Canis lupus familiaris: one gene and its partners. The protein of the gene in region 4 interacts with the protein of the main gene of each other region in a pairwise test. Links are inferred from orthologs where the notes say so. Each region holds a gene or a part of one and is shown on either strand. Other genes may lie near its edges.

What was found.
Region 1: the proteins of NME7 (region 4) and FOSL1 interact in binary tests that used the Homo sapiens proteins (3 or more experiments, as listed by UniProt). The two-hybrid records come from large-scale screens. The link is inferred for Canis lupus familiaris from reciprocal best matches to the Homo sapiens genes NME7 and FOSL1.
Region 2: the proteins of NME7 (region 4) and KRT18 interact in binary tests that used the Homo sapiens proteins (3 or more experiments, as listed by UniProt). The two-hybrid records come from large-scale screens. The link is inferred for Canis lupus familiaris from reciprocal best matches to the Homo sapiens genes NME7 and KRT18.
Region 3: the proteins of NME7 (region 4) and SYCE1 interact in binary tests that used the Homo sapiens proteins (3 or more experiments, as listed by UniProt). The two-hybrid records come from large-scale screens. The link is inferred for Canis lupus familiaris from reciprocal best matches to the Homo sapiens genes NME7 and SYCE1.

Annotation. Positions count from the first base shown.
Region 1 is NC_049239.1:51,872,363-51,879,153, forward strand, and holds the end of FOSL1 (fos-related antigen 1), read left to right. Parts: coding exon 1-88; intron 89-2,272; coding exon 2,273-2,380; intron 2,381-2,807; coding exon 2,808-3,218; 3' UTR 3,219-3,882; downstream 3,883-6,791. Other genes in the region: CCDC85B (coiled-coil domain-containing protein 85B), read right to left, coding at 4,729-5,337.
Region 2 is NC_049248.1:44,454,613-44,462,741, reverse strand, and holds KRT18 (keratin, type I cytoskeletal 18), read right to left. Parts: upstream 4,793-8,129; 5' UTR 4,710-4,792; coding exon 4,290-4,709; intron 3,536-4,289; coding exon 3,453-3,535; intron 3,126-3,452; coding exon 2,969-3,125; intron 2,385-2,968; coding exon 2,220-2,384; intron 2,118-2,219; coding exon 1,992-2,117; intron 1,692-1,991; coding exon 1,468-1,691; intron 1,086-1,467; coding exon 965-1,085; 3' UTR 907-964; downstream 1-906. UniProt on the Homo sapiens protein: Involved in the uptake of thrombin-antithrombin complexes by hepatic cells. When phosphorylated, plays a role in filament reorganization. Involved in the delivery of mutated CFTR to the plasma membrane.
Region 3 is NC_049249.1:41,694,501-41,701,517, forward strand, and holds the end of SYCE1 (synaptonemal complex central element protein 1), read right to left. Parts: intron 6,574-7,017; coding exon 6,526-6,573; intron 6,202-6,525; coding exon 6,147-6,201; intron 5,485-6,146; coding exon 5,395-5,484; intron 5,167-5,394; coding exon 5,103-5,166; intron 4,325-5,102; coding exon 4,258-4,324; intron 4,179-4,257; coding exon 4,055-4,178; intron 3,980-4,054; coding exon 3,869-3,979; intron 3,718-3,868; coding exon 3,566-3,717; intron 3,384-3,565; coding exon 3,373-3,383; coding exon of another isoform or gene 3,306-3,372; 3' UTR 3,255-3,305; downstream 1-3,254. UniProt on the Homo sapiens protein: Major component of the transverse central element of synaptonemal complexes (SCS), formed between homologous chromosomes during meiotic prophase. Requires SYCP1 in order to be incorporated into the central element.
Region 4 is NC_049228.1:29,198,337-29,206,028, reverse strand, and holds part of NME7 (nucleoside diphosphate kinase 7), read right to left. Parts: intron 6,838-7,692; coding exon 6,787-6,837; intron 3,994-6,786; coding exon 3,786-3,993; intron 1-3,785. UniProt on the Homo sapiens protein: Possesses an intrinsic kinase activity. Displays 3'-5' exonuclease activity with a preference for single-stranded DNA. Does not seem to have nucleoside diphosphate kinase activity.

The DNA of each region.
Region 1 (6,791 bases), on a different chromosome or scaffold from region 4:
CCCCCAGTACAGCCCCCCACAGCCCCGGCCAGGAGTCATCCGGGTCCTAGGACCACCTCCAGGGGTACGTCGCCGACCCTGTGAACAGGTAAGTAGCAAAGGCATTGCACTGGTTCTGATGCCCATAGGGGTGCTGAGGTGCAGAGGACAAGTTCTTGGCCAAAAGAACACAGGCAAGGCAGCCTGGGTGGCTCAGCAGTTTAGCACTGCCTTCAGCCCAGGGCATGATCCTGGAGACCCATGATCGAGTCCCATGTTGGGCTCCCTGCATGGAACCTGCTTCTCCCTCTGCCTGTGTCTCTGCCTCTCTCTCTTTCTCATGAATAAGTAAATAAAATCTAAAAAACAAACAAAAAACAAACAAACAAACAAACAAAAAACAGACTTAGAAAGGGAGTGCTGGGGAAGAAGAGCCACTGATGACTCCTGGCCAAAGCTGAGAGTAATAGGAGCCCTTGGGGTGATCCAGAGGGCAAGAGGTGATTCTAGGCTAGGGAAAGCTTTCTGAAGCTGGAGGTATATTAGCCCAGAAGGATGGGTAGGATCTTCATAGATAGAGATGAAAGAAAAGACATTTCAGGGAGAGAGGATGGCAGGAACAAGAATGGAGGTGGACATGAGAACGTGTAAGGTGTACATGTGGAAAGGTGGATGGATGGTAGAGGGTATCCCTGCTGAGATGTATGCTGTCTATGTGCTGGGAGGGAACAGAAAGGGGAGGGTTCCCTGTAGCTACTCTCTGGGGCTGTTTCCCTATCTCATTTAATCTTTACAAATAGCCTCTAGGGATGCACTCTGGTTTTCTCCACTTTACAGCTGGGAAATGAAGGCACAGAGGTAGTCACTTGCCCAGATTACACAAGTAGTGAGTAATGAGACAGGTCTTTTCAATTCTAAAGTGAGATCCTAACCATCAAGCCACACTATCTCATCCAGAGCTAACAGAGGCTCGAAGCAGAGTGAGTTGGGAACTCTTGACTCCCCAACCAGGGCTCCTGCCTTCACACTAAAAAAAAAAAAAAAAAAAATCTTTACCAACATAAATAAGAGATAGAGGGTCTTTAAGGGAGTTGCTCCTCTTTCATTTTGGTTTATGAGACTGTACTGGAGTGAGACTTACTCATTAAGGAGCTTGCCCTGACAGCAGGGTAGATGAGAAGTCAGGATCTTGCAAAGATGAACAGTTAGACAGGAGTGGCTTTCCCAGAAACAGCAGGATTGGCAGTGTGACCAACTGCAGAAGAGGACCATGCTGTGAGGTCCCAGAGGCAGGCTCCTGGACTTCTTTAGCCCTGACCTGAGGGTGGCTATTTGTTTCTGGGACTCCTAGACAGGGGCTATGAGCTCTAAGTAGGGTTCTTTGTGGGGGGCTGGTCCCCATCAGCAGGCCTCTCAATATTGAATAGAGTGAGTGGATTTTAATTTCTGCTCTGGGACCATAAAGGAGTTATCTATCCTCTCTGGGCTTCAGTTCCTTATATGGAAAGTTGGGAAAAAAAAAAAAAAGGAAAGTTGGGTAAATAATCTGTGTAAAGCTCTTAGCCGGCATGTAATAGGTTCCTAATAAAAAACAACTTACTAAATAAATAAATAAATAAAAATTAAAAAATAAAAAACGTACTCAGCAGCAACACTCATTAACTCCTCTTAGTGCTTACAAACCCCTGGGGAAGAGGACACTTGGGTGGCTCAGTGGTTGAGTGTCTGCCTTGGGCTTGCTGGTGATCCCAGGGTCCTGGGATTGAGTTCCGCATCAGGCGCCCCGCGGGGAGCCTATGTCTCTATGTCTCTGACTCTCTGTGAGTGTCTCATGAACAAATAAAATCTTTTTTTTTTAAGGGGGGGTGGAGAATGAGGGTCCTTCGAGAAAGAGCAGCTGGGTCCCAGAGGCTCAGAGTAATAAAGGCTGCTTCTGGCTGGGCAACGAGAGGAGGCTCCCTGTAAGAGTGGGGGTATCTTGGTTGAGTCCTGAGAGATGAGGGGGGTAAAGGTTTACGGAGAGTGTGGTGGCGATGGGGGGGGGGGTTTGCTTCTGAAAGAGGAACCAAAGGAGGCAAAGCTGGGTGCGAGGAGGAAGAAATCTGATTAATTCAATCTTACTAAAGCGTGAGTGCGGAGAACCAGTCGCGGCGCTGTGATCCCTGAAGCGCAGGCTCGCGGGTCCCCGCACGGCCATGCCCACCGCAGGGTCCTAGCACTGGGCCGCTGCACACGGCGAGTGCCGGGCAACCAGAGGCCAGGGTCTACCTCACTATTCCCTCTACCCGTCCAGATCAGCCCCGAGGAGGAGGAGCGCCGTCGAGTGAGGCGCGAGCGGAACAAGCTGGCCGCGGCCAAGTGCAGGAACCGGAGGAAGGAACTGACCGACTTCCTGCAGGCGGTGAGCACCCACCGGTGCGGAGGGTGTCCAGGCCGCGGCCCACCGAACCTCAGACGGGCGCGGCTCCCCTGAGCTTGCAGGGCCCCAGAGGGGCGCCGGTATATTAAGTCCCCTTCCCCCAGTCCCCGCTGGAGGAGCAGTCCTTCGGAGAAAACGACGAGAAAAATGCGATTAGAAATTAGTTACCGCGCGTCTCACTCCCAGAAAAGCAGGGGAGAGTCAAAGCTTCCGCGGACAATCTCCTTCGAAGATGCTCCCGGGCCCGAAGGGAGTCGTGCCCATTTTCTTCCAAGGGCTCATGGGAGTTGTAGTCCAGACTCGCTGGAGACCCCCCCACCCCCACTCCCACTCCCCCAATTACCACCACCTCCTGAGGCTACGCGGTACTCAGCCCTCATCTTCTAACTCCTCTCCTAACCCCCTGCAGGAGACCGACAAACTGGAAGACGAGAAATCCGGTCTGCAGCGAGAGATTGAGGAGCTGCAGAAGCAGAAGGAGCGCCTGGAGCTCGTGCTTGAAGCCCACCGCCCCATCTGCAAAATCCCGGAACGGGCCACGGAGAGCGACACTGGCGGCGCGGGCGGTCCTAGCAGCCCACCAGCCACCTCCGGCCCTGTACCTTGTATCTCTCTTTCCTCGGGGCCTGTGCTTGAACCCGAAGCATTGCACACCCCCACACTCATGACCACACCCTCCCTGACTCCTTTCACCCCTAGTCCGGTCTTCACTTACCCTAGCACCCCTGAGCCCTGTGCCTCAGCCCATCGCAGGAGCAGCAGCAGCAGCGGGGACCCATCCTCTGACCCTCTCGGCTCCCCCACCCTCCTTGCCTTATGAGGCACCTCAGCCCCGGTACCTGGGGATGCCACTCTAGCCAATGTCTCCCCACCCATTGGTCCAGCTGGTCTGGACCATAATCCCATGCCCTCTTCAGGTTCTTCTCCATTCCTCCAGATGACACTGAGCATATTTTGCTTCCTAGTAGAGCCAGCTTGGGGTCATGTAACTGCCCACTGTTTTTCCAGAGCTGGCTTCTTTAGCACAATTTGCACTAAATCAGAGACAAAATATTTCCCATTTGTGCGAGAAAACTCCTGGCAACCAAAAAGGACTTTGTAGATCCCTCGGAGTCCTCTAGAGCCCTAACCCCCTTCAGACCACCACACCTATAGTCTTCATCACCCTCTTCCTGTGATCCACCCAATCCTACTCTGACAGAAGGTGGTATTCTACCAGCCTAGAACACTAACTCGCCCAGCCCCACACTGCCAGCAGCACCAAGTGATTGAACCAGGGCATTCTGCTGGCCCCTCCTGAATGGTAGGAGAGTGCCAGAGGCTTCTGTGACGAGCTGAACTGCACCCCCCCCCCCTCCCCAGCTCTGAGAAGACTTTAGCTCCAGGGAATCCAAGCCTCCAAAACGAAGGCAGCTGCTATTTATTTTCCTACAGAGAGTATTTTTATACAAACCTGCCAAAATGGAATAAAAGGCTCGAAGCTCTGTCCTGGTCTCACTGAACCCAGAAGCAAAAGGGAGAACATTTCGAACCAGACGCCCTAGGCTCCGGTCTCAGTTCTACAGACTTACTGCATGACTTTGGAAAATTATTTGATATCTGGACCTCAGTTGTCTTATCTGAGGAATTGTTACATCTGCTATGCCTCATCTCCAAGATTGAAAGGAGGAATGGAGTGCTGCTGGGTGCAAACTAAAAGGATTATCTGTCTTTCTCCTGATGGGGGCCCACAGCTCGCCTGCGTGGGCCACAGGAGGGCGCTCTTATGCCCTTTTCAGCCTCGGGGGAGGCCGCTGAGTGGGTTCTAGGCCCCCAACACCTGCTTCCTGCCCCATTGTCTTGGACAGGAAGGAGCCGGGAAGGGAGCTGGAGCCACTTCAGGGGCCGGATTACGGCCCCTCCGGAGGTCTAATGGGGGGAGCTAGGGGCTTACCACCGTCCCACATCCTGCCCCAGGCTTGAGGGAGTGGGGGAGTCAGCCACCTTAGTTCTGCAGCCCCTCCGGACGGTAATGGTACCCCGTCTCAACGTCCCCGCCCTCGTCCCACCCCGGGGAGTCCCAAACAGACGCAGCCCAGGCCAGGGGCTCTGCTTCCGTTCCAGTTTATTAGCCCCCACCCCGCTCCCAGCACGTCCCTCCGCTCCAGCCTCCAGTCTCCCTGCTGCCCCACCAAGAGAAAGCAAGGGGCCCTCCTCGGTGCCAGAGTTTCCAAATCCATGCCAGCGGCCCCTCGTGCACAGGCGGGACGGCGTCCGGGTCCGGAGGTCCACCGCAGTCCCGGCGCTTGGGAAGCAGTCTGGTCGGGCGTCGACGTGAAGGAAGATGAGCCTCAGTCATCCGGGGAGCAGGCCAGGGGCAACTGATCTGGACTGCCCACGCTGCCGGTGCTGGAGCTTCCATCGCCCAGGTCGCGGGGCCCGCAGGGGGGCAAGGCGAGCTCGGGTGTCGGCCCGGAGCTTGAGCCGCCAGCGCCGCCGGGGCCGCCCCGGGGGCCCCACTCCTCACCCAGAGCCAGGCAGAGCTCCTTAAGCGCCAGGTTCTCCCGCAGCAGCTCCTCCTGGCGGCCCTCCAGCTCGGCCAGCTTCTGCCAACAACCGCCCAAGTCCTCGCGCACGGCTCGGGATGCTTGGGTCCCGAAGAGCTGCCACTGGCGCGCGGCGCGCCGCCCGCGCTGGCGCTCCGAGTCCAGGAAGCAGCAGAGGTCGCGCAGCTCGCGGTTCTCCGCCTGTAAGCGCCGGTTGAGCTGCTTGAGCTCGCGGATCTCGCCCAGGTGACCCTGCAGCTGCCGATTCACCTCCTGCATGAGGCGGCCGCGCTGCACCAGAGCCGCCAGGCGTGCCGCCTCCTCCCGCCGCAGGCGCCGCACCAGCTCTTCCTTGCCTAGCGCCGCCATCTCCTCGTCCGTCAGCTCCTCCAGGCCGCCCGCCTCGGCCTCCATGGCTGCTCAGGCCTCTGGAGCATCGCCTGTCCGCCGCCGCGGCCCAGGAGCCCACGTCGAGCTCTGCGCGCTCGGGGTCGGGCTCCGGCTCCGCGGGCCGCAGGCTGTGGCGGGGTAGCGTAGGCTGCAGCAGCCGCCCGGGCGTGGGCACGCGGCGGGGCGCGCGCTGGGGCGGGGCCGTATGACGTTAAGGAACGACAGCCAATCCAGAGAAGGCTCCCCTGAAAGGGGCGGGGCTTGAGCACGGAACACAGAGAAGGAGCGAGCCCCTTCCCCGCCCACTCCAGACCCAGGAGTGACCCTTCCATACGCTGGGTCCCAGCGCCACCACCCTCCGCGACAGGTAACCCTAAACTAGGCGCTTCGTACTTCCCAGTTCCAAATTTCCTCACGCTCTAGCCTAGGCCTCTCGACTCTTTCTGAGAACTTAGACTCCGGTGTCGGCCACCGACTCTCAAGCCCACCCCTGACGGAACCCAGAGGGGTCTCGTCTCCAACTTTTCTAGCTTAATTCATGCTCGAGAGTCTCGGCTCATTGAACATCACTTCCAGCTCTTCGGAACCCGGAGTCCAAACGTGCCTGGCTCACCATCAGGCTACCCTCTTAAGGATGGTTTCCTGTCCAGGGTGGGGGCGGAGGGTGGGGAGGCACATACAGGGATTCATTTATTCAATAAACTTTTACTGTGTGCAAAGCTCGGGCAGAAATAAACTTGACTAAGATTCTGATCCTGTCCTCAAAGAGGTCATAATTTAGTGGGGGAGACAGGCTGTGTTAAACAAGAAGTAAACGCGGGGAGAGACATGGTCCAGAAAGGTTTCCCCGAAGAGGTGGTAATCTGAGGGGCCCTGAAAGATGTATAGGACTTTGATGAGTAAAGAGCTATTTCAGCAAGCAGGAATAGCGTGGTGAAACACCATGGGGGCCTAGCTGCTTTAGGAACCCTGAGAGTAGCTCATTGTTTTCAAAAGATGGGTGTGTGGAGAAAATGGTAACCTGAGGGAGAGAAGCCACAAAGGTAGTTGGCAGGAACGTTGCCACAGGCAAGTAGGATTTTAAGCAGGGGAGTAACATTTTAAAATATACATTAAAAAAATTATTCAGGCTGTTCTGTGTGGGATGCACCAAGGGGAAGAGATGTAGGCAGGGAGATTAGTAAAAAACACTGTGTCAATGGGCAAGGTAGAGCCATGCAGGACTGGGCTGGAACAGTGCCCGTAGGGGTGGAGAGGACGAAACCTAGAAATACTCAGGAAGCAAATCAGCAGAACTGAATGTGAGGAAAGAGGACTCTGGGAGAAAACCCAGGGTTCTGGCATGAGAACTGGGTAAATGTTGGGACTATCACTGAGATAGGAACGAAGGAAAGAAACAGATTGGAAAAAAGGCTGTCTAGCTTTTGAGGGGCCTGTAGGGAAACAGCGTAGAAAAACAAGCAGCTCGGCAGCCCTCC
Region 2 (8,129 bases), on a different chromosome or scaffold from region 4:
GAGAGAGGGGCAGAGACACAGGCAGAGGGAGAAGCAGGCTCCATGCACCGGGAGCCCGACGTGGGATTCGATCCCGGGACTCCAGGATCGCACCCTGGGCCAAAGGCAGGCGCTAAACCGCTGCGCCACCCAGGGACCCCTGATTTTATGTTTTAAAGTAATTTCTACACTCTACGCGGTGCTTGAACTCACAACCCCGAGATCAGGAGTTGCATGCTCCACCAACCGAGTCAGCCGGGAGCCCCCAAAATGCTGTGAGCTCGATGAGGTAGGGGCAATACCCACTTTGTCTACCATGTATATACTCAGCATCCTAGCACAGGGCCTGGTGTAAAGTAAGTACTTCCTAAATATTTGTTTAAAAAAAATGAAACGTGTCCGTGTATGTCCAATTTAGGAAATTATTTTACAGTGGTTACCTCTGGAGTGGATGGGAAATATTTAATTTTATTTCCTTCTTTCTTTTTGGATTTTGTGCCTGTTACTTTTATCTCTCTCTCTCCTTTTTAAAAAGATTTTATTTACTTGCTCATGAGAGACACAGAAAGAGAGAGAGGCAGACACACAGGTAGAGGGAGAAGCAGGCTCCATGCGGGGAGCCCGATGTGGGACTCGACCCCAGGACCCTGGGATCACGACCTGAGCCGAAGGCAGACACTCAATCACTGAGCCACCCAGGTGCCCCCTTTTATCCCTTTTTTAATTTGAAAAGACGGATTCTCATCAACCATTCCCTCTTCTTTCTGAGCTGAGTTCTCAGAAGAGAACACAGACCTTTCCTCGGGCCACCCCACCCCTCCATATGAAACCCCTGGGGTCAGCAGTGATTTCTTCCGGATCAGAGGAAGGACTACTGGGGTCAGGACACCTGCACACGGTATGAAAACAGCCAAGGAAGACACGAAGTGACCTCTGAACCTTTTATTGGCCTCCTGCTCCTCAAAGGGTACCCTGTTTTGCTGCCTCAACGCCTCAGAATTTTGGTGTCGTTGGTCTCAGACACCACCTTGCCGTCCACGATCTTGCGGGTGGTGGTCTTCTGGATGGTATGCAAGGAGTTGCTGCTGTCCAGGGCGTCAGTAAGACTGTAACAGAAGCCCAAGCCCCGGTTATAAACAGCTCTGCAGAGTAGCAGGGAGTCAAGGAAAGGGTTGAAAAAGCCCTCCCGATCCCGGCCTTTATCTCCGTATTCTTTTGACTACTTCCTCCATAAAAGGGAAACCCAAGGCCAAACTCCATGTGTGCTCTAAGTATGGCCGGGGCAAGGCTTACTCTCTTCCCTTCTCTAGGGTTGGGGGGGCCTCTGCAACCGTTACTCCCTTGGAGATGCAGGAGCCCTCGCAGAGCTCCACCCCGGTGCTCAGAGGACCCCAGTGAACGGGCACGTGGTGGGGCTTACCAAAGGGGCTCTGGGGAGAAGCATCTCCCCGCCCCGGCTGGTGAGGGTGGGACGAGAGGCCCATTTACCTGAAGTCCTCCCCGTCTTCCAACAGGCGACGGTAGGTAGCAATCTCAGCCTCCAGCTTGACCTTGACGTTCAGCAGGGCCTCGTACTCCTGGGCCTGGCGCTGCCCCTCTGCCCGGGTCTGGGACAGCTCTGACTCCAGGTGCAGCAGGACCCCGTTGAGCTGCTCCATCTGCATCGCGTAGCGGGTCTCGACCTCCCTCAGGCTGTTCTCCAAGCTGGCCTTCTGTGGGGGCACAGGGAGGAGGATCGGGTGAGCCTCGCCATGGAGCGGAAGGATAGTCTCAGCAAGTTTTAGCAGAGCGGTCCGAGTCCCATGACGGCTCATCCCATCTCTTGGAAACTTGAGAACTTAGGGCGTGCCAGGTACTAGGGCCGTGGGTGGGAGCAGTGAGAAATGCAGAGAACCACTCTTTCTGAGCATAAGATTTATGAAGGAAGGGGTGGATTGGGCCGAGACGGGATTGGGTTTGGGCCGACAGAGGGCAGGGCCAGGGGGAGTTGGAGCTGGTGAAGTGAGGCTTACCAGGTTTCTCATGGAGTCCAGGTTGATCTCCAAGGACTGGGCGGTACGTCTCAGCTCCGTGAGGGTCATCTCAGCTTCTCCGATCTCAGCGGTCTGTGTGGTGACCACTGTGGTGCTCTCCTCGATCTGCAGGGTGGGTATAGTCCTCAGGTCCCCCCTCCTTCGCCTCCCTCCCACAGCCTCAGGCCTCTGTGTCTAGCCGGGCACCCAGCCCTTCCCCTCGTGCACCTGCTGAGACCAGTACTTGTCCAGCTCCTCCCGGTTCTTCTGAGCCAGCTCGTCATACTGGGCCCGGATATCTGCCATGATCTTGCTGAGGTCCTGAGATTTGGGGGCGTCCAACTCCACCGTCAACCCAGAGTTGGCGATTTGGTTTTGTAGACCCTTTACTTCCTAAAGGAGAGAGGATCAGAGTGAGGAGAGACTCGGGGTCAGAGCTCCGACAAGGCTCCTCTCCTGCAACTGTCCCTCGTGGGAGACCTGTGGGATCAGCTGGAGAAAGCAGCAGAGAAGATTCTTGGTTTTATACTCTGGGCGATGCCAATCCTGGGTTTTCTACTGCCGATGAATAAAATGCCACCCACTCTGCCCAAATCTATCACCTACAGGTGGTTTCTCTCCCTCACTTCACTCTGTCCCTCCATCTATCCTCCTTCCACAACCTCCTCCTTGTACATTCTTCCAGGAAGCCCTCTCAGCGCCACCTGCCCTCACTCCTCCAGCAGCCCTCACACGTGGTGCTGGCTGCTTCTATCTTTTGTCCTCTCCTCGCTCTCTCACCCATGTCCCCTTGACCCCATCACACTGCAATTCAGGTGACCGAGTATGGCAATGATCTGATTAAGGAGAGCCCGGGCTGGTAGTTCTAAACTTCTCTGCCAGCTACTTACAGGCAGGCGGCCTGTGCCATCTAGTGCCCTCCACCCCCGACTTGTTTGGCTTCCTCCTTCCCGGCCTGGCCAGGGGCCCCTGCTTGCCTCCTCGTGGTTCTTCTTCATGAAGAGCAGCTCCTCCTTGAGAGCCTCGATCTCTGTCTCTAGCTGCAGCCGAGTGACATTGGTGTCATCAATGACCTTGCGGAGCCCATGGATGTCGCTCTCCACGGACTGGCGCATGGCCAGCTCCGTCTCATACCTGGGGGCAGGGGGAGGGGAGGCGATCAGAGGGCCTCATTCTGACCCAGGACCTTCTCACTAGGCCATCTGAGAGCGCCCCTGGCCCCCGCAAACCAGCCGCCGGAGTCTGGATCAGGTGGTAATCCTCTGGGCAGCCTTCTCGGTTCTTGGGGGACAATGTTCGTAGACTGGGTTATATCCGTGAATAAATACATGGAGCCTAGCTCCTACCCACCCCGCTCTGACCAGAGCCAAAGATCCCGCTGTGAGCCCCCGCCTGAGTGGCCCAGCCGGCACCAGACGGTTCTTGGGGCCACCCCGGCCTCCCCAGCAGCCCCAGGCTTACTTGACGCGGAAGTCGTCAGCAGCGAGCCGGGCGTTGTCAATCTGCAGAACGATGCGGGCATTGTCCACGGCACTTGCAAAGATCTGGGGGATTGGGGAGAGGTGGCTCCGTGAAGGGGAAGTCAGTGATGGGGGCCGAGCCTGGCAGTGTTGTGTCTGAGTGGAAACTTCTCGATCCCAGGCATAGTCAGAGGTTCTCCTTGTGCACCCACCCCCTTCCACCTGTGCCCCCTCACACTGTCGCTCCTTTCCTGGGGCCCCAAATTCCAGAGTTCCCACCGGTCTCCCACCCCCCCTTCTCCGAGGCCCGCCTGCCCTGAAGTCAGTCAGTCCTCTCCTCGGCCCTCTCCTGGTATTTTTTTCCTAGTGCACCTGTTCACCTCCCCCCTGCTCGCCCCCATTGGCCCCTCCCACAGGTAGGCCTCCTGTTTACTCTTAGATGACTCAGCCTTAGCCACATCCGCTTAACCCTCCAATTGTCCTCTTTCAGGCAGAAGTCAGGTGTCCAGGTCCTCTTTCTGGGGCCTTATCTCCCGTCCCTCCCTCCGTGCCGCGGACTTCCTCTGCAAGACTCTCGCCCCTCCCCTTCTCCCCTTCGCCTGGGAAAGGGCCCTGCCATGCCCAGTCACCGCACTTGGAGTCCCTGTAACCGGCGTGCGTGTGCGGGGGAAGTCCAGGGCATGCACCCCCTCCTTGTGGAAGAGGGGCGGGGTGGAGATAGAAAGCAGGAAGGAGTCGGACACCCCACCCCATTAAAATTCCAATCCCTGGGGGAGGAGGAAGAAGCCGCCCACGTAACAGGGTATGCCAAGGCTCTGGGTTGGGGTGGCCCCCTTACCTGAGCCCTCAGGTCCTCGATGGTCTTGAAGTAATGCCCCCAGTCTCTGACCTGGGGGCCCTTCTTCTCCAGGTGTTCCCGGATTTTCATCTCCAGTCTCTGATTATCAGCCTCCAGGCTCCTCACCTTCTCCAGGTAGGAGGCCAGGCGGTCATTCAGGTCCTGCATGGTCTCCTTCTCGCCCTGGATGCCCCCTATGCCCGCCAGACCCCCGGCCATCCCCGCGGCCAAGCCCCCGGACCCCCAGCCGCCCCGGAAGCTGGTGGAGCGGGATACGGAGATCCGGGAGCCCGAGCCCCCTGCGCCTGCATAGACGCTGGCCGCACTGCTGCTGATGGGCCGGACCCGGTGGCTGGGCGCCTGCACGGAGCCCAGGGACCGGTAGTTGGAGGAGAAGGTGGAGCGGGCGGTGAAGCTCATGCTGCTCGGAGGGAGGGCCGGAGGGCGACTCGGGAGGCCAGGGCTCAGGCTCGGGCCAGGGACGGTGCAGCGTCCGCCACCGAAGTTATATCCTGGCAGGAGTGGGTGGGGACCGGCCCGGCAGGCCCCGCCCCCCCCCCCCCCCCCCAGGCTGGGCTGCAGGTGCACCGCGGGGGTATCGCGTCCGGGCCGCGCCTCCCCGGCCTCCCTCCCCCAGCACCCAACACCCTGGCACCCCGCACCCTGCAGCCAAGGCCGCCCTCCACCCCCCGCAGAGGCGGTGAGCAACCTGGACGGACCAGGGCAGCAGGTGGAGCCGGCCCTCCACGCGGAGTTTGGGGCAGGAAATAACGTCCTTAGATCCTCCTCCCCAGGGTACGGGAGGTCCCGGCACATTGGAATTTGGGGGTTTGGGGAGATGATAAGTGAGTGACGTCAGGTGCGAATCTCTGAACCATCCTCAGCCTGCAGCCCAAGTTCCCACCTGTGGAGAGCATCTGGGGGGGTCCTGGAGCCCCAGGAGTCGTGGGGAAGGAAAGTTTGGGGCTGGAAAGGAAGAGAAGCTCAACCCTGAGTCTCCCATCTGCCAGTCTACACCACGACCCCCGCCACACTCGGTTCTCAAACATACCCCCTTGCACCTGTTCATTAGCACGCACGCACCCACGCCCCATCGTAGCCATGTGTATTGTCAAACACCCACTCGGGGTCAGGTCACCCACCAAGTACGAACAGGTCGGTTCTCGGAATCCCCTCCCTCTTGGTCCCCTCCCCTCCCCTCCCCTTCCTTCCCCTCCCTTCCCCTCCCTTTCCAAGGAAGCCTGCCGTCAGCGGGACACTTGGTAATTTAAACGCCCGAACACTCTTCATTTCTAAACACGTGTGTGTCAGCCTTACCCACACCCTGGGGTCAACAAACACTTCCTGAGTGCTTTACAGTCCAACAAGTATTTATTGGGCACCTACTGTGTGTCAGACCCTCCTAGAGTTGCTGCTGGGAAAATAGCCCCAATAACAGAGGCTGAAATCCATCAAGGGATCGCAGGGGGTCCCACACGGTGTAGGGTCAGCCCTTGTGGCCAGCCCCCTCCCCATCCTTACTAGGATTTTTCTGCAGGTGTCCCCCCCCCCTCCTGCCTCTCCTCCCTGGACCTCAAGCCTGTCCCCCAGGACCTAGGTAGGTAAAAAGGATGGGAGCAAAGAAGTTCCCACTGCTCCGTCTGGGGCCAGTGGCCATCCCCAGCCGAGTGAACCTGGGGAATCCTGAGGTACAGGGCCTTCTGGTCTGTCACCGCGAGCAGCCCGTTTGTCCAGCAGGGCCTGACCTGGTCCACTCGGCTCTGCTCTTTGCTCTGGAGTGGACCTATTGATTCTTATCGAGCTGCCAGCTGAACTGAAGAGATTGGGGGCAGCCGTGAGGGCAGGCCTGGGGGAGGAAGGGATAGAGCCGGGCCAGGGGACCGGCCGGGGAGGCACAGCTCAGATGTGGGGCTTGGCCCTGGTTCTCCCGGGCCTGCCCTTTGGCTGAGGAAAGCCCTGCAATGTGGGAGCCGGCCAGGGGCGCACCAGGGCCTGCGAAGGCTAAGAGGCAAATGGGTGCAAAGTAGCAGGCAAATAGGCGCCCGCTCGCTTTGCATGGCAGGCTTCTGGGGCATGAGAGGTGCCAGCCCTTCAAGGGTTCCTCCTGCCTTCACCTTCGCCTTCCCCCGCTGGGTTCCAGAACCGTCGTGTTGTGCAGACTTGTACGGTACCTTACACAGATTAAACGTGTGGTGTGTTGCCTTGGCTGTTTTTGCTAAGCTTCGGGTCAGCCAACTTGGACTCTAGGCCGGCTGTGTGACCTTGGGGAAGTCACCTCACTCTAAACTTCGGTTTCCTCACTCGTACAGGGAGAATAATAAAGCCCATCCACCCAGTCTATCTCCTTGAGTGCCGGTGGGTGTGAGTGTTATCACTCCTCCATGAGACGAATAAATACCAGTTACTTACTGCAGAGTAGTAAGTCCTCCACACGTCCAGGAGGGCCGAGGTGGGGCGACGATTTAATTGTAAAGTGGTTCAATGATAAGAGGTCTAAGTCACTTAAGACCCTTGGGGGACTTTAAATTCCACCAGGGATCAGGCCCAGATCCCAGGATTCTTAACCAAACTCCTGCCCAGATACTTCTTTGATCCCTACCCCATCCCAACTGCTCAGGACCTTTTGGGGCCGGAGGGGGAGAGCAGCCAGCTGGGTCTTATCTCCCATAGCTGATGTCTATGGCCACATTCCTGACCTGTTGCAGCATCGGGCAAATACCAGCCTCGGGCTTCTAGCACCGGCTGGCCTGCCCTTTCCTGCCCCTTCCAGACTGCCGGGTGATTCAGAGCCCTTTCACTCCGAGGGGGGTGAGGGGGGTGGGGGGGAGTTTCGGCTGCAGATTCCCAGCGCTGGGGCCGCGGAGTGGAGTCCAGCGGTGGCCGGGAGGGAAGGGGAACAGGCGTCCAAGCGGGAGGGCCCTGGGAGCCTGGGCAGGAGGTGGCCTGCTGAGACAAAGTCTGGAGTACAGAGGCCGCCTCTAAGGGGGGATTGCATTCTGGCGTCGTTCCGCTGAGGGGGAGCGGGAACCTGAGAGGCAAGTTTATCTCCTGAGTAAGCTCCGAGATGACCCTGATAAGGGGTCAGCCCTTTCCTCCCCCTTCCCACATTCTCCATCCGAGGGGGAGGGGGAGGGCCGGGGCTAACAGCCGGGCCAGCTAGCCGGTGGGTTTAGGGGTGGGGATTAGGGATGGGGAGGGTCTGGGCCCTGGCAGCCCTCCAGGGTTTGCTTCATCATTTAGGCTGGAAATGACCTACTGGGCCCTGAGGAGGGAGGTGTCTAGAATAGCAGCTGAGGTGTGAGGGCGGGGGTCTGTGGCCCAAACAAGGAGGGCAAAATATCCTTCCATCCTCCGGAAGGACTGGGGAGGACTTCAGAAGGGACTTCCCCCAGGCGTGAGTGAGTGTTGGAGGAAGGGAGAGGAACCTCCCCGCGGTGGGGAGGTTGGAGGCGGTGAGGTGGGTGCAGGGAGCGGGTCCTGGGAGGCTCCCCTCAGCTCCCCTCGCTGCTGCCACCGAGAGAGCCCAGAGCTGCAGAGGAACCAAGGGAGGACGAGGAGCACGGGGCAGAGGGGGACTCCCTGAGGCCCAGCCCTGCATCTGCCATGTAGGGGGAATCTCTGTCAACGATTTTGATTTAAACAATTAAGGAAATAGGGGGTGCTGGGAGAGGCCGGGGCGCCAGCAAGTGCAGGCTGTGGAGGCAGGTGGGGTGGTGGGGCCTGCAGCTGGGGTGGGCGTAGGACTGAATCTGAATCTCTCAAGACTTTGAGACTCTTCTGGAGACATCCCTGGCCCGTTTGGAGGCCGTGGTGCTGCTGTCCAGTGTGGAGTCAGGGAGG
Region 3 (7,017 bases), on a different chromosome or scaffold from region 4:
TGTGTAGGAAATTCACACAGGAAAGAACCTGTGGGTCATCTTTTAAACCCAAGTCAATATATGGAAAAATTAAAGAAATATAGGAAGGAAGAATCCAATAAAGGCAGGAATGCCTTTATCAGAGATGACTCACTAAGATGAGCACTTAGAATAAAGTGAAACCTTATAAATATCTTTAATTTGTCCAAGTTTTCAAGAGAACGAATTTTGTGTTTGTTAGTGAATTTCTCATGAAGGGAAAATGATCAGTTTCAGCAAGGTTTATAAAAACTCAGCTAGAAATGATAATGTATTGAAAAAAAGTTTTCTAAACAGTATAGACCATTGGTTATTGGGAGTGATTTTAGCCTCCAAGGGGACATTTACCAGTACTACTGCTAAGTAGCCAGTGTCTGTTCTGCATTTCTTTAGTCTGTATTTACAGGGCCCATGAAGACTCTTAAGTAGTGGAGAAATAGATTCCAACTATTGACAGAAGGGCATCTTACAAAAGAGTATGTGGGATGGGACATAGTAATGTGGCCATATTTGGAAAATTGAGTGGATACAATCTGCTTTCTGGTGATAGAGTTCACATCACTTACATATAAAAACTATATTAAAACTCAAGGATTGGGCAGCCCTGGTGGCTTAGCAGTTTAGCACCGCTTGCAGCCTGGGGTGTGATCCTGGAAACCCGGGATCGAGTCCCATGTCGGGCTCCCTGCATGGGGCCTGCTTCTCCCTCTGCCTGTGTCTCTGCCTCTCTCTCTCTGTGTGTCTCTATGAATAAATAAAAACTTAAAACTCAAGGATGTCCGTTTATAAAGCTGCTTGGCTCAAAATCTAGGACATCATCTGTACTCGGTCTTGGGCGCAGTCCCTTCTGTGTGGTTGCTCTTAAGCTGAAGCCATGTGACCTGACATGACCAGTTAGGGCCCTGCACAACACGACACACGGTGGTGGCACGGAGATGGGAGTTTCAGCTGGTCCACTCAAAGGGGAGGGGAATCGGGAGGCACTTAGCCATCTGTGGTCCATAGAAACTTTGGGTTCTAGCAGGACACACCATCATTTCCTGGATTAGGGTGCAGTGGTTCTGGGGATGACTTCCAAGGTTCTGGATTCTGCACTCAGTCATTTTCTCTCTTCTACAAGACATACCTCCCCCCCTTTTTAAAACTAGTTTCTTCATTTGAGCTGTTTCTAAACCTTTCATTTGAAATTGGTTTGATTCCTTTAAAAAAGTTTTTGGATTTCTGATACAGGAAACTACTGTCCACTCTATTAGACGAAAGCCAGCCCCATACTTCTGGAACAGGATCCACTCTACCTCAACCTGAGAGTGATGTGGGGACAGAGCCTCTGAGATTTGTAAAAGCCTTATCATCTGTGAGAATATACAAGGTGCACTCTTAGGAGTCTCAAGGAAGGGTCATTTTTTAAAGATTTTATTTATTCATGCGACACATAGAGAGGCAGAGACATAGGCAGAGGGAAAAGCAGGCTCCTCACAGGGAGCCTGATATGGGACTCGACCCCCAAACTGGGAACAACACGTCCTGAGCCAAAGGCAGACGCTCAACTGTTGAGCCACCCAGGTGTCCCAAGAGTCTCAAGGAAGGGTCTTAAAGCAGCACCCTTGGTCTGAGATTTACTCTGTGGCTCCATTTTGCTGGTAGTGTCTTGAAAGTGATCTTTAGCCTGATATAACTGGAGAAGCTGGGAAGGAGGAACAGTTTTATTTTCAAACCTAGCGAGTCCTGGCTCCTTGGTATTTTGTCTAGGTTAATCTTTGAACAATCTCTTCTAGGTCATCTGCCTTTACCTTAACCTTGTAAGTGACTCCACCAGCTATGGATTTTAGTGTGTTTCTCAGCTAGGAACCCACTCTTGATTGCCCCACTGTGGTGATGGGGCTACAGTTCTCCTTTTCCAGCTGACACGATCTTTGGGTTTCCAAGTAAAGGGCCTGGAGGGAGATTGCAAGGCTTAGCAGGAAGGATTTTCTTTCTTCTTTGGCAGATAGTCATGTGGTTGTGAGCAGGGGTAGGGGAAGGTTCCAGTCCTTTTTCTCTGGTCCTATTTCACTGTCTAGAACTTCAATGTCATGAATAGTATTTAAATATGCCTGAAATGCTTCTAACACTTCACCACCAAGTATAAATGAAGTTACCTTCTATTCCTGTGTTTATAATTTTTCTTTATGTAAATAGGTGTTGGATTTTGCCAAAGCCTTTCATTCATCTGTTGAAGCAATTGTGTGTCCTGTTTTAAAGATCTAAACCTGATGCTACAATCATGGGCATCATGGGCTTGGCTGAGATGCAGTTCTTAAAGGTGATGTTTCCACCGGCATGCAGTGAAAAATATTAATTTCCAGGAGATGCAGGAGTTACTTTGAGATTACCTATTCATTTATGACACAGGTCTGATTAACCCCACCTCAGGTAGAAAACTGGGAGGCTGATGCTTACTGTCTGGCTGAATGAATAATTTCTCACCAGGTTAGGTTTTCCCATTGTTTCGTGGAAACAGTGCTCTCCACACTGGTGGCCTGCTTGGACCTCTCCTGTCATGTTACCTCCCTACTGGCATGTGGGAGCCTTCCAAGGGAAGGATCTCTACTTTAGTCACTGCATTTTGGCCTAGGATCCCAGACTTGGACTACCTTTGCTGCCCTTGATTTGGGGAGTACATTTTTTTTTTTTTTTGGGGAGTACATTTTTTGATTTGAGACCTGCCTCAAAAGCACACAATAGTCTCAGGTGACTGACTCCCAGGACATGGAAAATTCTAACATACTGTGTTGTATAGACAGGTATGTCAGTTATGTATTTTGTGCCCACAAGAGCAGAAACTACACTTGGCTTCCAATTATTTTTTTCTCAGCTAGTCGGTGGGGACTGTGGGTAAGGGACTGGCTGAGATCCCAAGCACCTTGTTCCTCATGTTTGGGATTTCCAGGTTCTGTAGGTTCTGTATAGTTCAGGCCTCAGTAACAAATTCAAATAATCACAGGGTGAGTTTGCAGAACGTGCACCTTTCTGCCTGGAGATCCAAAACAGGGTGTGTAGTCCTAGAAATGAGCAGAGACTATGAGGTTAGGGAAGCACATACTGGGCACCTCCCGTCGAACTCTGGCTGAGGCCAAATGGAGATGTGGCCAAGGTTTTACCCAGCCTCAGGGGTCAAGGGTCTTGGGCTGGACAAGCCCTACCACCCCTGCACAAACTCAGCTGAGACAGTGGTACTGAAATAGTAATTTTATTTCTTGAAGTTCATGGCACTGAATAGGCTCCAGGGTAGGGAGAGTCCTTCTTGCCTAAGAGGGCATAGGGCCTTCCTTGGTGGGCATCTCTGGGTCTTTCTCCTGAATGACTCCTAGGAGCTTAGGATTGGCCTGTGGGAGGTCAGGGTCTGAGAAGCGAAGTCTCTGTGCACCCCTGTGCCCACAGCCTTACTGGGATGTGCCCCTTCCCACCCCACCACTGCCAGCCTCTGTACTCCTGTCTTGGTTATGCCCTATGAGAACACCCTTCCCCAAAGAGCATCTTTGAGGACTCTGTGATTCCCCTTCCTTGCCTTCCTCTACCCAGCTCCTTTTATGAGCTATCTCTGCTCCTTGCCACCCAATTCCAGGTCTCACAGGTTCTCCTGGGCCAGCCCCTTCCTCTTGTTTGCTTTGGGCTTGAACAGGGATCTGCATCCCAAGCTTTTCCAGCTCCTCTTTAAGCCTGGACAGAAAGGGGTGGGGTCAGTATGGGGAGGGGGGAGGAGAAGGGACAAGAGGGTGTAAAGAAATGGGGAGATGAGCTGAAAGGGGAGCAGAGGTGCCCTCACAGCCACCTTCCTCTTGGGGACTGGGGGCAGGGCCTCCATGCCCACCTCTGCCTCTTCTGCTGCAATTGTTGGCACTTCTGCTGCAGCTGCTCATGGTGATGTGTAGCAGCATCCAGGAGCCCCTGGGCCTTCCTGTTCTCCTCTTCAAACAGATGCCTGAGGGTGGGGCCATCAGCACTGGAAACTCCGTCCCTCCACCCCATTCCCTGTCCCTGTCCTCTTTGGTCTTACACTGCAGCTGCAGCCTCCTGGCTGCGGAGAAAGAGCCCCTCAGCAATGGTTGAGCAGCCGTCAGCCCCAAACTGGGAACACAGACGATGCTTCACATCTTCCAGCTTTGCCTCCACAAGCTTCTCTGCAGCAAGAAGGGACAATGGGCAGGGTACGGCAGGGCAGTGCAGGGCAAATCAGGGCTTCCCCCTTCTCGCTCTCACCTTCTTTGAGCAGGTGCTCCTTGCTGCTGTCCAGGGTGTCAATCTCCCGGGCCATCTGCTCTGGCCCCTGAGTAGGTAGAGAGGAGGCCTGTCCATGTGTTCCAGCCTCTTCCCATGCCCTTCAGAGAAGTCTATCTGGATCTGGTCTCTACTCAGCCTGCCTCACTTCCTACTATTCTGGGCCTCTGGGCACACAAGGCATGTTCCAGCTTCAGGGCCTTTGTACTGGCTACTGTCTGCACCTGGAACTGTCTCGCCTGATACCTGTGATGCTGCATTTGAGGCTCATGAGGTGGTTAATGTTCAGGAACTTTGCCAGTTTTGAGATCAGGTCTGAGGCAACTATTTCTTACAGGACATCCCGAAAACATTACAAATCACAACTGTTCCCTGGAGAATCAGTTACCAGCCTGGCACTGCAGCTCCACCTGCCTTTGTGTGGCCTCCTCACTGAGCCCCTCCATCTTAACACTTATTCTCTCTGGACTCCTAGGTGGTCAGGATGGTCTGCCTGGATCCCCACTTGTGTGCCCTGTGTCAGTCATGGCTGCAGACACACCCTCCTATCCGCTCTATGGATTACCTCTCCTTGGTTCATCAGGGTTCCTCCTGGCCCCTGAAGGGATGAATGGGCAGGCCCAGTGAAGAGAAGGACACCGGGTGGCAGTGAGGATGATGACGAGGGATTGAGCTAAGGGCCATTTGGACATATGACCACCCATGCTAGCTCAGGAGCTGGGGGTGGCAGATGAGAGGAAGGAGGCCTGCAGCATGATCATGAGTTTTGGGCCTGGGACTGCCAGGGAAGATGTGAAAGGTGGGAGGAATGGCTTTGGGTGACTCACATGGAACTTCCAGAGGTCCTTGTGCTGGCCCATCAGATCCTCTAGCTGTTCCTCAAAATCCAACCTGCAGACCAACCACACAAGATGAGGAGCCATGTGCTGAGACATTCCTCCCCACCTTGGCCCAAGCCAGGGGTCTTCATGCATAGACCATATGAAAGTTGCCCACGTCCTCTGCTCTGTGGGAAGCACCTTCACCACCTTGAGGCTCCAGGCCTCACCTCAGCCAGCTCTTCTAAGCCCCATCCCTAATATTACCCACCACCACTCTGCCTGGCCTCGGGGACTTTACCTCAGTTGCCTCTGTTTATTCTTCTCTTCCTCAATCTGGGAGTTCAGGGCAGAAATTCGCTCCTTGCACTCCTGCAGCATGGTATGCTTCCTGGGAAGAGGCAAGGCAGCTCTCACAGTCTCTGAATACCTCCCCAGGAGAGGGCTGGGGTGGGGCTTCTGCTTCCTCTTGGGGTCTGTTCTGGCTTTCCAGGTTGAGGTCCTTCTTTGATCACTTTATGGGGGGGGCATGGGCACGTGTCCCCTGGAAATACTGTTGTGAAATCAGGGAGATCAACATGGACACAGGTGCACAAGCACACAGATAACTAATCTCCTCCAAATTTCCCACACCATTCCAATGTTGGTATACGAGGGCTTGGGGACTCTGGGTCATGAAATGAGCTAAATCAAGGTTATGTGGAGATATGGATTAACGAATATTGAAGTGGATGGAGACACTGGGTGGCTAGATGCCTAAATGAGGGAACACATGAGTGCACAGAGAACCAAGGAGCCTATTTTAGAAAGAGTACCAGGCATAGAATAAAACCACAGAAATAATTTGGTAGTTCTAGCAAATGAATGATTATCTGAGTGAGTCAGAGTACCCTTACTGTGTGCTGTTGGGACTGAGGTGGGAAGACCTGCATCTAGCTTCTCTTTTTTACAGAGGAAGATAATGCAACCGTGGGTCCAGAGCTGATTTTCCTGGTGTCTTTTCCACCCAGATCAAGGGGGTGGGCAGAACAAGGCCCAGGTGGAAGCTCTTACCTCTGTGCCTCACTCTCCTTCTCCTGGCAGTGCAGCCTGAGGATTCTTAGGGTCTCTGCAGGGAGAGGAGCCAAGGGCCACGTGAAAATCCTTCAAGACATCAGGATTGGATGTAGAAAATAGGGTCAGATCATGTGTGGGCTTGTGGACACCTGATGGGACTTTGTCATTTACTGCAAGTCTAGTGGAGGGATGCCTCGGTGGCTCAGTGGTTGAACATCTGTCTTTGGCTCAGGGCATGATCCCAGGGTTCCAGGATCAAGTCCTGCATCTGGCTGGTAGAAGCCACAGGAGGAATACAAGCTAATTCAGGTTTCAAAGGGCTTCAGCTACTATGGAGAGACTGGCTTCTGCAGGGGGATGGAGTCGCTGCAATTACCTTGCTTTTTGTTCAAGATCTCTTTCAGGCGTACTTTCTCTCCACTCACTGGAAAACACAGTAACACATTCAGGCATCGGAGACCTCCCACTGCACCCTCAGGGAGTGCACCTGCCCCTGGTTGCACAGGCACTTTGGGACAGCTCTACTCCAACCCCAAATGTGGACCCTTGGGAGTTGAGCCCACACTCCCTGTAAGCAGTCAAGGGCCCTAGGGTTGGTGATGGCTGACTGAGGAAACTGTGGAGGCCAGTGTGTTCACACGGAGAGGAGAGATGAACTGGGAATATGTGCTATGGAGAAACACATTAAGTTCTAAGGGGAATGTGATCCGGTGGGGACAGGGTGCTATCCTTAAATGGGATGGCTGGGGGAGTTCTACTGGAGATAGGAACATTCAAGGTAAGGGCTTAGGATGACGGGTGGCAAGAAGGACCTGTACTATCTGGGGCTGAACCGCCTCACAGGCCCTGAGGTGGAAGGATGCTTGGA
Region 4 (7,692 bases):
CTCCAAAGTGACTCTACCATTTGAAATTCTCATCAACAGTGTATGGCATAGGTTCTAGTTTCTCCTCACACTTGCCACTTGATATGCTCAGTCATTTCTTGAGCACTTGGGCTATTACAATGACATAGTTGTCTACTCCCATGCCAATATCATACTGCTTTTCCTACTAAAGCTTTATAAAAGGCTTCCTATTGCATAAATTAGCCATCTTATCACCAATACTCTCCTTCAAAATTTCCGTGGCTCTTTTGGCTCTTCTATGCAAGAATTTCATTAGGTTTCATGAAAAACTCTACTAGGGTTCTGACTGGAAAGATACAAAAGAAATGAACAATTTTCCTTAGCCAAAATGATGTCAGTGGAATGAAAGGATGAAGCCAAATTGTAGTGACTGCTCTCAATGAGTAGTCAAAGGCAAATGAAGAAGAGAAAATGGTGAATATAGTCTGGATAAGACAGAAAAGAGGATTAAATAGTAACTAATAGGAATTTAAGATCAAGGAGAGACTATTTGGGGATGCTTGTATGATGTTTTTCAATTTTTTATTTACATGCACTGTCCCCACTTCCTCATGTATGCTGTGTGTTCCAGCAAGAGAATTTCTCTTTGATAGCTAGTCAGATAATGTGATGTCCACAATACTCCTCCCAAGACAAGAGCTAAGAAAAGGTATATCCTAAAAGGTTCATAACAATGGGATATTTCAGGGATGAATGTCAGAAAGAGCTAAAAAATTTAAGTGTACAAAATCGAAAAAATTATGTTTAAGACATTTCTTTAGGATAAAGGATCAAACAAATCACACACTAAAATAATAGGACCTAAACAGAAGCAGGGCAGATCATGCCCTGCTAACTCTGCAGAAGCTTCTCCACTACAAAAAGAAGAAAAAAATCATTATGTAAACTGTATTTGCAGATATGCATTTTTCTAAACCTTAGCACATTATATATGTGCAAACATAGAAACATACAAACATATATACTTAAGACAAGACTAGCTTTATCTTTATTAAAGTATAAACCCTCCCTTACATTTCTGAACCCACTTATTTTCAGCATCAACAGTATTAAATATATACAACCTATATTAATATCCAATAAAAATATGTCTTTTAGGTGTTCCAGACACAATTCCAATGTGGGGAGGGGTTACTCACACAGAACACCAAAGCAATTCTCAGACACCAGCAAGGTATCTAAGAAATCAACTCAACTCTGGCACTATCTATCCAGAGACAGTATCAGATTCCACAGATTAAAGGTTCCTAGTCTTTTTGATCATTATTTTACATCTTTTCTCTCTTCAAACCAATAAACACCTTGTCCCTTATCCTCACTTCTGCTGTTTTTGACCTTGCTCTCTCCTGTCTTATTAAAAGTGAATCAATCAGAATAAGCATCTACATAGACATAATCTGCCTTCCCATTTGTTGTGCCAGATGACTATCCCTGCACCAATGTGCAGTCTGTGCTCTAATTTCCATTCCTTCTCACCTAATCAATGACATTGTACCACTAAGTCTCCCTCTTTTTCCTACATCTTCAATTTTTCACATCTGTAATTCTTCTCTTCTTAAAAAAAAAAAAAAGACCCTGCTTTTCCTCATATCTACCACCTTATTTCTTTTCTCAACTTGCATCAAAACTCCTCAAAAAAGCTTCTATATCTGCTGTCTCCAATTTTCTTTTAAATCCACTCCAGCAGGACTTTGCCTCGATTCTTCCATCTTTTACCAACTTCTACAATGATTCTGTAGTGTAAAGTCCAATAGTCAATTCTCGGCCTCCCCTCTTTCCTGATAGATCTGCCTCATTTGACCCCACTGATCATTCTCTCTCTTTAAAATACTTTCCTCACTTGGCCTCCAGAACATAATTAGGTCTGAGTTTTTTCCTTCTACTTCACTGATGGCTCCTTCTCTATCTCCTTTGCTGCTCTTCAGCCTTTTACTAGAACAGAAAGGCTCCATCTTTGTTCTCTTTTCTTCTTTATAAGTAGTCTCTCCCAGGTAATCTCAACCAGTCTCATGACTCTGATACCATCCAGGTGCCAGTGACCCCATATTATGACACTAGTTCAGACTTCCCTCCCCAACTCCAAACTCGCATAACCAGATTTTTTACTTACCATTTCTCTACTTTGATAACTAACATGCATGTTAAGTCTGCAATGTCCAAAATGTAACTCCTGAGCTTCCATCTACACTGACTCTAGCCATAGTTTTCCTTATTTCAGGTTAGGCAAATTATAGCCTTTTAGTTGTTCAGGCCAAGAACTTTGTGGAGTAATCCTTGCTCTCTCTTTTTCTCATATTCTACATTCAATCTGGAAGGAGATCTTGCTCATTTGACCTTCAACCATTAAAAGCATTTTAAAATGTATCTCTATACTCCTCTCACTGCTTCCATCCTGGTGCAGGCTATCATCTCCCTGGATTATCCTAAGAGCCTCTTAACTGGGTTCCCTGTTGCTACTCTAATCCTCTACAGTCTATTCTCATTGCAGTAGCTAGGGTGGCCCTTTTATATACCAAGTGAAATATATCAGTCCTCCACTTAAAACCCTGCAATACCTCCCAGTTTTCCTCAGAGAAAAAGCCAAAAATACTACCATGGCCTACAAAACCATGTGCTATCTCCCCTATTTCTGTGACCTCATCAGCCCCTCTTTCCCTCACTCCCACTCAATTATTCTGCCTCCTTTCCTGTTAACTGAATGACCAGGCAAAAATACACTCTTCAAGGAATAGTAAGATGGTCAGTGAACCTGGGATACAGTGAATAAGGGAGACACTACTTGGAGATAAATTTGGAGAAACAGATGGGAATCAGATCAGGTGAAGCTCTGGAAGCTTGTGATTCTATTATAAAAGAAATAAAAATTCACTGAGGAGTCTTTAATAATTGAATTTTTAATCTTATTTGTTTTTAAAAGATCACTCTTGGCCTAGTTAATTTTATGTGGGCAAGGTAAAATTTTTATAAATTGAGTATAAGAGGAAAAGGAAGAGGAAAAGAGAATTAGAAGAATTACTACTATTTTGCAGTAGTACAAATAAAATATAACAGTGACCTAGACCACAACAATCAGATTCAAAGTCTAATTTGAAGGAATTGCTGAAAGGATCTTTTGATGGAACTGTAAGGAAAATTCAATTATTAAAAAACTGTCTAATATTATTTTAACGAAAGCATGACCAGACTAAAAGCCATCTTACATCAGATGAGAAACTTGTTGTGATGCTAAGAATAAACTTGCAACTTCATCAAATCAACATCAGCATAAACCCAGTATTACACCTTATTTATATGGACTTAAAAATAAGAAATAATTGTAGGAAGCATAAAGACTTTTTCATGAACACTAGCTCTGTACAGGAAAAGGATGTTAAACTTGAAGATAGTGTTAGATCTGAGTCAAAAATAAAATATATTAAATGATGTTTCCTTTCTGAATATTTACTATCCATAAGCTGGTCTCACATTAAGTCAGTAATTCAAACATTGATGAGCCTGAATAATTTAAATGACTTTGGAATGTAAACTGAGATGACAAGTATTTTAACTGGAGAACACTTATCTTGACCATGACCAGGTTACCAGTTCACAAAAGAAACATATTATTGAAACACTTTAATCCTAGGCAAAGGGTCAAAGGTTTTCTCTACTCCTTGATCATCTGTATAACCTACCCGAAGTCAGCCATGACAGATATGCTTTACTCTGACATAAAACATCTAACAAAAACAAAAACAGAATTAAAATATTTTAAAACACCTTACTCTGGCAGCAGAAGCAAAAGAATCAGGGCCATGAGCTGCATTTCTTATGCCGTCTGTTCCAAAGAGGGCTCTCAGGCTTCCAGGAGCATCTGTACGTGCCATACCAGAGTTCGCGGGTCCAAGTAGCCTTTTCCACTCACATATAGCATCATCTCTTAAAATCTCCATGGCAATAGTAGGACCACTTGTAATAAACTGGATAAGCTCACTACAAAATAGATAAAAGCTTGATTTGCTTCATTTTTCTGTCAACCTCGTATCTCTGTTAATAAGGATATATTACAATTAGAGTATTTCAACACACACATTAATATTATGATCTCAGAACTACCAGATATAGTGAGATATGCATTGGCAAAATAAAATTTTCATAAGTTGAGTGTCTTGTGGTAGTCTGAGTCACTACAGATCACTAGCATTGCCAAATCATTTACCATTACCAAAAAAAAAAAAGAAAGAAAGAAAGAAAGAAAGAAAGAAAGAAAGAAAGAAAGAAAGAAAGAAAGAAAGAAAGAAATCAGTGTTTCATTGAATTTAAGGCTACTTCAGTGACTTAAAATGCATATTACTGATTAATGCTTTTCCCATTGCTCTGAAAGGTACAGAAGGAAATTCCTTTTTATTTTCATGTGGTTTACCACTGAAGTTACATAAAATTGCATAATAGAGAAAATGATGAGAGTGGTCTTATATTTACAGTTAGAATTTATTTTTGTGTAGATTAGAATTCAAAGAATGTCAGAAATGTTCAGTCAATAAACACTGAGTTGGTCTTAGTGATAAAGAAAAAACAGACATTAATAGGTCTTGGGAAAATATCCTTTTATTTTTGATATTTATATTTGATATTTATGAAAAAATATCCTATAAAAGCTACTCTGGGATATTCTTATCTCAAGTTATTAAAGAATACATACAGGTTCTTGATTAAAAATCCAGCATTGGGGATCTCTGGGTGGCTCAGCGGTTTAGCGCCTGCCTTCGGCTCAGGGACTGATCCTGGAGCCCCAGGATTAAGTCCCGCATCAGGCTCCCTGCATGGAGCCTGCTTCTCCCTCTGCCTGCGTCTCTGCCTCTGTCTCTGTATCTCTCATAAATAAATAAATGAAAATTTTTTTAAAAATCCAGCACTGAGTCACAGTAACCCAAGCCATGAAAAGCAACAGTTCATTTCCCTCTGCCACTTCTGTACATGCACAAGGCAACGGTGACAAATTTAACCGTGAAATAAGTAACACCATTCCTCCCACAGTGTTAGGCAGGGACAGAATACTTTTTAAAGTAAGCCTATGCTTCTCTCTCATCCAAGCTATAAGAGAGGACAGGATTCTCCTGGAGAAAATCACACAGTATGACCCTTTTATACCTATTAATTCTTGATTATTTTATATCAATCATTGACTCCCTTCCATACTTTTAAATAATTTCAATTCATTTTGAAGAGGATTTCTAAAAAACAGGATGTACAAAGAAGTATTCATAACCTCCATTCTAAAAGGCCCACATGACCTCTTCATACATATTCTGCTAGGCCTTAGCAGAAAAAAAAAAAAGGAAAAAAATAGATTTAAGGAATCAAAATCAAGAGAACAAATCCATGTTTATCCATTCAATAAGCACTTAACAATTACCTACTACAAATCAGAATATTCAGCGATATCCTTGCCTCAAGAAACTTATAACCTAATGTCCTGTTAATACAGATTTCTCAAACACATAGTAGACTAAGCCTATGACCTGAGTGTGGCATGTAATAATGCAGAGAATGTAGTGCCTCATCATAAAAAATACTGCTTTATGAGACTACCTCCAACAACTGTAGCTACATCTTTTGTTGTGTCTTTCATTAATACCAGAAAACTAGTTAATTCATTCATTTAATAAAATTTACTGCATGCGGGCAGCCTGGGTGCCTCAATGGTTTAGCGCCGCCTATGGCCCAGGGCGTGATCCTAGAGACCAGGGCATGATCCTGGAGACCAGGGATTGAGTCCCACATCAGGTTCCCTGCATGGAGCCTGCTTCTCCCTCTGCCTGTGTCTCTGCCTCTCTCTCTCTCTCTCTGTCTCTCATGAATAAATAAATAAAATCTTAAAAATATTTACTGCATGCTAATTACATATAAGACATTAAATTAGGTACTGTTATATAAACATAAAGCAAGACTACAATAAAGAATAATTTCCAAGAAAATTATATATTCTAACAAGGCTTGGGAATATTTTATACTACTTGATTTAAACTAATCTCTAACATAATAATTTTCTCATATACAATTTTAAAAAACTCTATCATATGCAGGATACCAAATAGCATGTTTATTATAGCAGCTTAATATCCTTCTTTATTAGAAATGTAAGCATTTCTTTGTCAATAGTAATATAATTTTCACAATATTCACTTAAATTTAAATACATCCCAAATATTTAGAACATCAGTTTCTAACATATATTAGTTGCTCTATTTCAAGGAACAAAAGTATTAGTGAAAAAATAAGGGTTCCATTAACATCGTTTTATGTACACAGGAATGCCAAGAGCACAACAAAAGCACTCAACCCAGGGGCACGTGGCTGGCTCAGTCATAAGAGCTGTGAGTTTAAACCCCATGTTGGGTATAGAGATTACTCAAAAATCTTAAAAACCATTAAAAAAATACTTAACATAAAATATAATTATCACTCTATTTTAATCTACTGAAATCTAAAAAGAAACCTATGACATTTATAATTTTTTTTTGACATTTATAATTTAAATAAATTATCCTATTTGCTTCTGATGATAGTTTAAGATATTTAATTATGAAATAAAAATCCTAATCTAATAAAAGGACAGAAAAAAACAATTCTTAGAAAACAGTTCTCTACAGCTGCAAGATGTTGCTATGGTCCTTTTGACAGATGATTTCCAGGTCAAAACTTTCTGAATTGTAAAACTACGATTCTTTAGTTTTCTGGGATATCCTCCATTGAAAACCCACTTGCCCCAAAGTCAGCACCTACTTTAAAAAGGGCCTTGACTGATGATCTATATGAAAATCTGTTGCTTCTTTCCTGAAAAATAATCAAAATGACAACAGGTAAGAATTATATCTTAAAAATTATTTTACTAAAATATTTTTGCTTGCATTAATAAAATAAAGATGAAATCCTCTATTTATTTGATCCGTATGTAAACTGATTAATGACTTTTCACCAAATATTCTACTCAAATCCTCCCACCTTTCAAATTTTTTGCTACTTGAATATCTATTAAGATGTAAAATTACAATGAATGTAAGAGGCACGATTTCATTTTCTGCTCACGTTCATATCTACAATCTTCCTTTGCACCAGCATCTTTAACATTCTTGAAACAAAGTTTAACATTTGACCAATAAGAGTTATTTGTTCTTTAGATATCAAATAAGTTACATTAAAAAAATGCAAAGCTATCTTCAAATTCAAAATTAGTCACTTTCTTCTTCAGGTTTTTAACTTGAAAGGGTAGACTAGAATTTAAACTTAATAGTTATAGTTTTCTCTCTTAGATCTTGTGTGTTTAAGATATGCTTGACAAGTTAAGCATATCAATGTATTCTTATTGGTTATTAATGTATTAAAAAACAAATGTTTTAACTGATATCACCAGAAAAGGGAGGGTAACATGGAGATATTCAGAATTTAATAAGGGCAATAGGGATTTATCTTTTGCATCTATACTCCCACAAAGAATATCTACAGAGACACTGAAAGGATAATGGCCTTTAAATTGATTAGCTGAAAAGCCTAAACAACTTTTTAATCAAATCAGGTATCTCTCAAACTTGGGACTGTTTTATAGACTTTAAGCTGAGCTCACAGTATGTGACAAATGTGTCTACTTTTTAAAACATCAGAGAAGTTCAAGTGTCCTCTAGCAAAGGATTA